2 linked regions of the Daphnia pulex genome follow. The protein of the gene in region 1 binds, or shares a complex with, the protein of each later gene. Links are inferred from orthologs where the notes say so. Each region holds a gene or a part of one and is shown in the gene's direction. Other genes may lie near its edges. The genes, in order: transcription termination factor 2-like and telomere length and silencing protein 1 homolog.

Evidence for each region.
Region 2: transcription termination factor 2-like (region 1) and telomere length and silencing protein 1 homolog share a complex: the UniProt entries of both Homo sapiens proteins name them as parts of the spliceosome. The link is inferred for Daphnia pulex from reciprocal best matches to the Homo sapiens genes TTF2 and C9orf78.

The regions. Positions count from the first base shown.
Region 1 is NC_060026.1:13,496,346-13,500,619, reverse strand, and holds the start of transcription termination factor 2-like, read left to right. Parts: upstream 1-1,448; 5' UTR 1,449-1,632; intron 1,633-1,696; 5' UTR 1,697-1,731; coding exon 1,732-1,786; intron 1,787-1,848; coding exon 1,849-2,918; intron 2,919-2,983; coding exon 2,984-3,448; intron 3,449-3,507; coding exon 3,508-3,793; intron 3,794-3,855; coding exon 3,856-4,053; intron 4,054-4,121; coding exon 4,122-4,274. Other genes in the region: beta-1,3-glucan-binding protein-like, read left to right, coding at 1-2, 65-192, 261-453, 530-728, 797-1,006. UniProt on the Homo sapiens protein: DsDNA-dependent ATPase which acts as a transcription termination factor by coupling ATP hydrolysis with removal of RNA polymerase II from the DNA template. May contribute to mitotic transcription repression. May also be involved in pre-mRNA splicing.
Region 2 is NC_060023.1:10,024,174-10,027,837, reverse strand, and holds telomere length and silencing protein 1 homolog, read left to right. Parts: upstream 1-1,575; 5' UTR 1,576-1,671; coding exon 1,672-1,808; intron 1,809-1,875; coding exon 1,876-1,990; intron 1,991-2,056; coding exon 2,057-2,211; intron 2,212-2,274; coding exon 2,275-2,478; intron 2,479-2,546; coding exon 2,547-2,680; intron 2,681-2,745; coding exon 2,746-2,918; 3' UTR 2,919-2,959; downstream 2,960-3,664. Other genes in the region: zinc finger CCHC domain-containing protein 8 homolog, read right to left, coding at 2,982-3,500, 3,561-3,664. UniProt on the Homo sapiens protein: Plays a role in pre-mRNA splicing by promoting usage of the upstream 3'-splice site at alternative NAGNAG splice sites; these are sites featuring alternative acceptor motifs separated by only a few nucleotides. May also modulate exon inclusion events.

The DNA.
Region 1 (4,274 bases):
GTGTAATATTTCTATATAGTAACAAAAATATTTTGATTTTCCATTTTCATTTCATCAATCATAGGGTGGCTGGCAATGAAATTATCAATCCAGCTCAGTCTGCCCGAATGGTGACGAGTGATTCGTTCAGTTTTACTTACGGAACAATCGAAGTCAGAGCTAAAATGCCAAAAGGTGACTGGATTTGGCCAGGTAGAAATGAGTTGTTATTAAATATAAAAACAATTGGGAAATTAATAGTATTGAAATATCCTATAAAGCAATTTGGATGTTGCCTACTGACGAAATTTATGGTGGTTGGCCACGATCGGGTGAGATTGACATCGTAGAGTCCCGAGGAAACGCCGATTTTTCGTGCAACGGCTATCCGATAGGGCGACAGTTGGCAGGAAGCACTTTGCATTGGGGTCCTGATCCCAACCAGAACCGTTTTGACCTTACCCACTGGGAAAAGTAAATTTACATATGTGCATGAATTAATTATAGTTACTACTTAGAATAATGTTAAACGTTTTTATTTTTCACAAAGGATCACTCAGAATCCAGATTTTGCCAGCGATTTCCACCTTTACCGTGTCGAATGGCTTCCAACTGGTTTCCAATTCTTCATTGATGATCAAATGATTGGTGAAATGTATCCCCCTGCAGGTGGATTCTGGGAATTGGGAGGATTTCAAGGACAGAACCTCTGGAGCGGTGGAACTGTAATGGCTCCCTTCGATCAAAAAGTATATATTTTTTTTTTATTATTTATTTTAAATATTTCATTTACATCATTGTCGTCGTGTTTGTGCAGTTCCATTTTCTTCTTAATGTCGCTGTCGGAGGTAACTACTTCCCTGACGGCTGTCAAAATGCCGTTTATGACAAGCCGTGGACCGCATCTGATCCTACTCAAATGAAAACTTTCTGGGAAAGCCGCGACAAATGGCTACCCACATGGAATGCTGCCACTGAAGACAACACAATGCAGGTTGATTATATTCGCGTGTATCAGCTTGGTTAAATTGCCACAAACTGATTTTAAAAAAAATTGATTTTATGGAAAGTTTAACTTGACTCTTAAAAGAATAGAATAAAAGAATGCAACATTTTCTTTATCCTTTATTTACTTCACCTCATAATTTGATGTAAAGAGATAGTATTACCACGGTTAGACCGTGGTATTGCAGTGTCAATGCTCAATGGTGCAAGGTTTTCAAATTTCCCACTACGCGTACTAGACTCCTCCCCAACTACTGCGGTTGCACGTACACGATCGAAATAAGAAATTAATATTAAAACAACAATATAAATATGAATGGGAAAACCTATTCGAATTAAAAATTGCTCATAAAGTTCAAAATAGGAATTTGCCTAATCAATGTTTTTCTAACTAAAAAAATAATTCATAAAATTTCGTTGGCTCCTCTTTTTTTTATATTTGGCAACGACGCCTCAGTATTTCTATTCGAAAATTTTAGAAAGAAATCGTGAACAAGTGTGACAAGGAGTTGGTGATGTACTCATGTCCGTTGTTTCTTCTTTCTTTTATCGAACGAAATATTTAATAAAGCACGAGAATAGTCCAGGTCAGACAGAGAGGAAGCTAGGTAATTTGTCATCTTTCTACTGCTGCCTTCGTATTTTATGGTAAACCTTTTGTACATTATGCTAATGCTCTACTGGTTCATGATCACCTAAATTTCAAATCCAGAATCTAGAGGAATTTAAGCTGAATTGACATACAAAATGTCCAAGTTCCCATTGAATGATGAAAGTGACCTGGTTCCATCTACACCAGAAGGTAAAACATTTAGAATTTGAAAAGTAAGGCTTTCTAACATCATTCTGTTTCCTTATTTGAAGATGTGTCTGATAACGAGGCGTATGAAACTCCAGCTGCCCATTCTTTTAATAAATACTCAAAGTCTAATGTGAAAGCATCTGCTGTTTCACGTACAGAGAAGATAGAAGAGTCAGTACAGGGAGAAGATTCAGACTCTTACAGCGTTGAGGGAGAAGAAGAGGAGGAGTCCCAGCATTCATCTAGGCCTGGATCTTCAGATGATGAGGAACCTGAAGATGAGGTAGATAAAAGTCGATCCTCTAACCTGGTTGTCAGTCCTTTTGAAACTAAAAAAGGATCGAAGCAAAAGGCTCATAGATTTATTGAGAGTTCAGAAGACGAGTCTGATGATGAGTCTGATGAAGAAGATGTGTCATATCGTGTGAGAGGAAAACGTCTTGGATCTAGTGAAAAATATTCAACTAGTCAAATTGGAGACCTGGATGAATCTTACCAAGTAATTCAAGCTGGAAGGCGTCAAGCAAAATTGGTGATTCAAAGTTCTGGAGAAAATTCTGCTGAAACTTCTGACATTGAAGGCTTGGCAATTCAGAAGGCCAATGCTTCTGATAGCTCTGACGAATCCGCAGAAGATTCTTTTGGTTCCTCCGTTAAGAAGAAGCCAACCCGAAATCCAATTGATAGTGATTCCGATTCTAGTGGACCACCGGTTAGAGGAAAAGCAATTGACACTGACACTAGTGAAGAGTCCGATTCTAGTGTTGAAGCAACACCGCGAGTCTATCGTGAACAAACTGGAAGGAAAGCTGCATTATCATCCACTGAAGATGAGTCTGAGGATAATATTAGGAAAGAGATGACTCCTCGTATCCGAAAGCAATTCATCGACAGTGACGTATCTACTGAAGAAGAAGTAAGGGTTCCTCGTATAAAAACTCCTCATGTCCGAGATCAAATCATCGACAGTGACGTATCTACCGAAGATGAGGTTGAAGCCATTGCCCCACGGCTCCCTTCGTCCTCTCGTATCCCTACACCACAAGCGATTCAGCGTGCTCTTCGCAATACCAGTCTTGATAGACACGTTTCGGGGAATGATTCAAACATGGATCCCATTAACGCTAATCATGTAAGTTGGCCGTGATTAAAGCTGCCTATGATTAGACCTTTAATATATTTTTTATTTTATTTCAGGAAATGTCGAGGAAATCGGCCGATAAAAGATTTTCGCCTCCTGAGCCTCTTGTAGAGGAAGAAGAAGTACCGATCCAAGATCTATCCAATAGTATTCTTGAGGTATCAAGTACTGTTGTATCTTTTTCGAGCCCTGAAGTTGAAGGAAAAGAACAAGATCAGAGCATAACTGAGTTATCATCACCGGAAATTGCACGAACTCTTCCTGTTCGACTCTCGGCAGCAGAAATAACGCGGATGCGTGAAGATCTTGAGCGCCAAAAACTTCTTTTGGTATCGTCAAATTTAAAATCATTGCCCGATGGAGGAGAAAGGCTCCGAGACAAAATTCGTAAGCTGACTGAACAGCTAGAAACAGCCAACAAACTCGGTGTAAATCCCCCAATGCGCCCCGTTCCAGTTTCATCAGTAGCGTCAAGTGAAGTCCAAGAAGATGAACTTCGAAAACAAATACAAATGAAAAAGGTTATTTTCCAACAATTATTTTCTGAAGATAAGATAAATTTTATTATTGTTTTTTCTAGTGGGCCATGGGTAACGCAAATAGCGACGACAAGGAGCGCCTGCGAACTGAAATCGGTGCCATGGAGGGTCGTCTTATTAAGTTGTCAATTGCCAATGCAACCAACGCCGGCAGCAGCAGTTACGGCTCAAAACATTTGGATTTCCAAAATGACACGCAGAATCGCCAATTAGCTGTAAAACCGAAAAAAACCCAACTTCTTCCTGAAGCTCCCAGACTAACCGAAATGCAGAAGAAGATGTTTGCCGATAATGCGGGAAAGGAACTCTACCAGAAAACGGAAACCGGTTAGTAATAATAGTCATGTTTTTTTTTTTACAGCAACTCAAATTCTCCTCCTTTTAAATAGGTTACATCTCTGCTGCTGCCCGTCGTGAGGCTGTTTCCATCACTATGGATTCGCTTGAAAACCTTCATCGTTCTCTCGCCAGTTGCCCAAAAGAAACCGATGTGGAGAGTACGCCCGCCTGCCTCACAGTTCCTCTCTTGGCGCACCAGGAGCGCGCACTCAAATGGCTTTTATGGCGCGAGACTCAAATTCCTGCTGGTAAGCGACGTGATTACTTGTTCATTCAGTTATTCCCTAAACTTAATTTATTCTTATTTTTCTTTTAGGTGGAATATTGGCGGACGACATGGGTTTAGGCAAGACACTGACCATGATTGCATTGATCGTGAAACAAAAGGAACTAGATCCTCCACCACCTGCGTCCTCCAACATTTGGCTCTCCAAGACCGTCAAGATCAAAAGGTCATCTGGTACTCTCG
Region 2 (3,664 bases), on another chromosome or scaffold:
TGGAAAAACGGTTTAACAACTTCTGTAAATTTCTTTGATTTCATTATAAAAAGCTTAGCATTATCTGAGGAAATCTAATAATCCAAACTGTAGAGCTCACTTAAGTGACATAAAAGAAAGTATCTCACCACGCAATAATGGATCAAATCGATGTTCTCGAAAAAAGACAAACTTCCAGCTATTAGTAACATGGAGGTATATTAAAATTAATATCTATCAAATAATTAATATTAGCAGACAGAAATTTGTGTACCTTTACACAAGGCACAATTATTATTTACAGGACATTTAAATCATTTGTCTATAATTTGTCGTAATCTACTGCGTTCATTGAAGTTGTTTAACGTCTCGGAAACGATTTTCAGCTGGGTCAGCCGCCTGATGTAAAGAGGACCTTAATTTTACAATGTCCTTAACGTTGTCTTCATTTTCAGGCTCTTATAGACCTTTTTATGGATAGTTAGACAGCGGAAAATAACTCTAAATCCCAACTAAAACTTTAAATAACCACGCATTTACGTTCTTATATAATTAATTACATCAACAAAACGCACAAATTACAAAACCGAAAAAACTTACATTTCCTTAAGGGAGAAGAAGATAATTCTGATCTTCCTGATGGGTTGGCACACCAACACCTCCTGCTCATGAAACTATAGACATCCCATCTACAGGAGTGGTATTCCAATCCATATGCAAGAAACATTGCAGCAAGAGAGACATACACAACTCTGAGCTTCATGCAATGTTTGACGACTCGAGGATTCCACAATAGTGCAATCGTGAAAATTCTTCATCTTAGAAGATGAAAAGGTTTCCAGGAAGCCAGGATGCTTACGGCAGGCGGAGATTCACCGAGTATCTTGCAGTCAAGGCAAGAGAGTCTGATCACAGTGAAGTACACGTCTTTGGTTTAGGATCAAGCGGAAGAGTTCTTCTAGAAATTCAAAAAGAGTAGGAGGTGATTAGGTTCAAGCAACGTTATCCTTCCAGTGCCCCCTTAAACATAGCAATAGGAAAAAAGCAAAATGAAAAGAACAAATATTACGAAAAATTCCGCAAAATTCTGTCGAAAAATGTATAAATAAGGTGATAATATAATATTATACTTATATTGGTTACTCAATTTGTGCTATCAAAAGATTCATTTCAGGCTTCAGGAAGGAATGATTTTTTAACACTTAGAAAGAAGCAAAAGCTGAAATCTGTGCTTGACTAACAAAAACATTGAGGAAACTCTATAATGCTATTTTCTAATAAATAAAACGAAAAGACAGTAAGTTTAATGAAGACTCTTATTCCAATCCCACTCCAACAAACTCAGCATGTTTAGGTAAATATTCTAAATTGAAATGCACAACAATGGTCGCCATTTGCATGACACCGTGAGATGGAGTAAGCTCTAACTGTTGCCAGTTTTTGTCAGTTTATTCCTTCATTTAATGACTCATTAATTTGAGAATAATTCTATTTAAATATTTAAGAATAAAAATATTTTTATACCTATCACTCTGGTCAAGTTGAAGAATTACTCAAATACGATTCCGAATTTCCCATATATCGGCAATCTGTCAAGGTTGTATGTCACTGTACTGCTTCTGTTTTGTTTTTGTCTAAAAGAACGGGACGCCTTTTTAAGTTACAGAACAATTAAACAAATCGTAAAAAAATATGGAAGAAATTGGTGATAATTCGGGAGAAGCTTCTCTAACATTTAAATTCAAGAAACCAAGTAGAAAACCTATGAGAAAACGTCTCGAAATTGAAGAGGACGATGATGCTGGTGGCAGTGATGAGCTCGACGTGTTGTATGCACATTCTTATAAATAATATAATTTAAAATGTATTGTCATATTTAATTTCCTAATTTTCTAGGTTAAAGCTGGAAGAGACAAAAGAGTTACAAAAGTTAAGAGAGAGACCCCACGGTATTAGTGCTGTGGCATTGGCAATTGGCAAGCGAATAACTGTTGAAGAGGAAGTTACAGTGGTAAGGCAGTGTATATAGAAATTTATACAAGATCATGCATTAACTAGTTTACTTGTTTAAGTAAAGAATGATCCCTTCAAAGTTACAACTGGTGGAATGGCTGATATGAAGGCAGTTAAAGCTGGAAAGCAAAATAGTTCATCTGCTGATGATGCATATGAAACTGGAATTGGTACACAGTTTTCCGTGGAAACCAACACTCGAGATGAAGATGCAGAAATGTGTGTAAATATTATTCATTTACAACTCTTGCAATTCAGTTATAAAATGTTTATTCTTTTTAGGATGAAGTATATTGAGGAGCAACTTGCAAAAAGGAAAGGTCTAATGCAAGAGGATGAAGATAAAAGTAATAAATACCTGACTCCTGAAGAAATTGCTTTTTCGTCAGTACCTGAATATCTGAGAGTGAAATCTAGTGTCCAATCTGAAGAAATGTTATCCAACCAGATGCTTAGCGGAATTCCGGAAGTAGATCTAGGAATAGAGTATGCCAGTCTAAAACATTTTTATATTAAAAATTTTTACAATGACTTTCATAATTATTTTATTAAAGGGCCAAAATTAAGAATATTGAAGCAACTGAAGAAGCAAAACAGAAGCTGCTTCAAGAAAGACTTCGTAAAAAAGATGGTCCTTCAATGTTTGTTCCGACTAACATGGCCGTTAATTTTGTCCAGCATAACAGATGTACCTTTCTATTATTGATCTATACTTAATTAAAAATTTCTAATCATATTTTTACATATTTTTAGTTAATATTGAAGAATCTGGCCCCCCACGTAAGAAACGTGCTGAAGCTTCTGTCAAACCAGCCGTCCCTGTAGAGTTACCTAAAAGGTTAGACAATGTCGGTGGGAAAAAAGAGCATGATAAGGCAAGCGACGACTTTTATTTCGAAAAGTTCCGGCGACAGTTCCGAAGATGATGAAAGTCTTAATTTTTCAAAAAAATACATACATTTTTCAAATAAACGATTTTTCAGTGCCATTTATTTCCTATTAAACATTTGCTTCGCCTTTTGAAGTAAAGATCGCATCTTTTGAAAAGCGCCCGTACTATTTGGAAGATTTTCGTATAGTTCAAGTTCACCCATGGTCCCAAGTTTCCCATTTTGCGCAAACTTGTCTCGTGAAGGTAGGATATTATAAGGTGAATATCGTATAGAGACAGGAGTTCCCATTGCCAAGAGCTTGCTCTTTTTCGGTGACAAGTCTTGATTGTTGATTGGTGACTCAATATTTAGAGGTAGATCTGATATTGACGAGGTAGGAATCGTCACTGCAGCAATATCCATTTCCTGAACCTCGTTGGTTAGGTTGGGAGATCCACTCTCTTTCAATGTGTCCCCAGTAACGATGCCAGTTGTTGTGTTGGTTGGGTTAGTGGTTTCACTCCCTTCAAAATTTTCTTCAATAACACAGTCATCGTCTTCATCTCCCAACTCAGCAAGCAATGCCTGGCGCTTTTCTTCAAGGTCTTCTATGGATGTATCCATGTCAACGATTTCCTAAAATAAGGAATTTTAACTTATTTGACAACATTTCAACGATTTTATCTAGCAACAAACCAAATTCGTTTCTTCACTAGAATTCTTTTGAGTTTTACTGTGCATCTTTAAATTGGCGATGAGAGCTTCTTTGGAATTGTGCTCTTGCATTGGAGGAAAGTTTA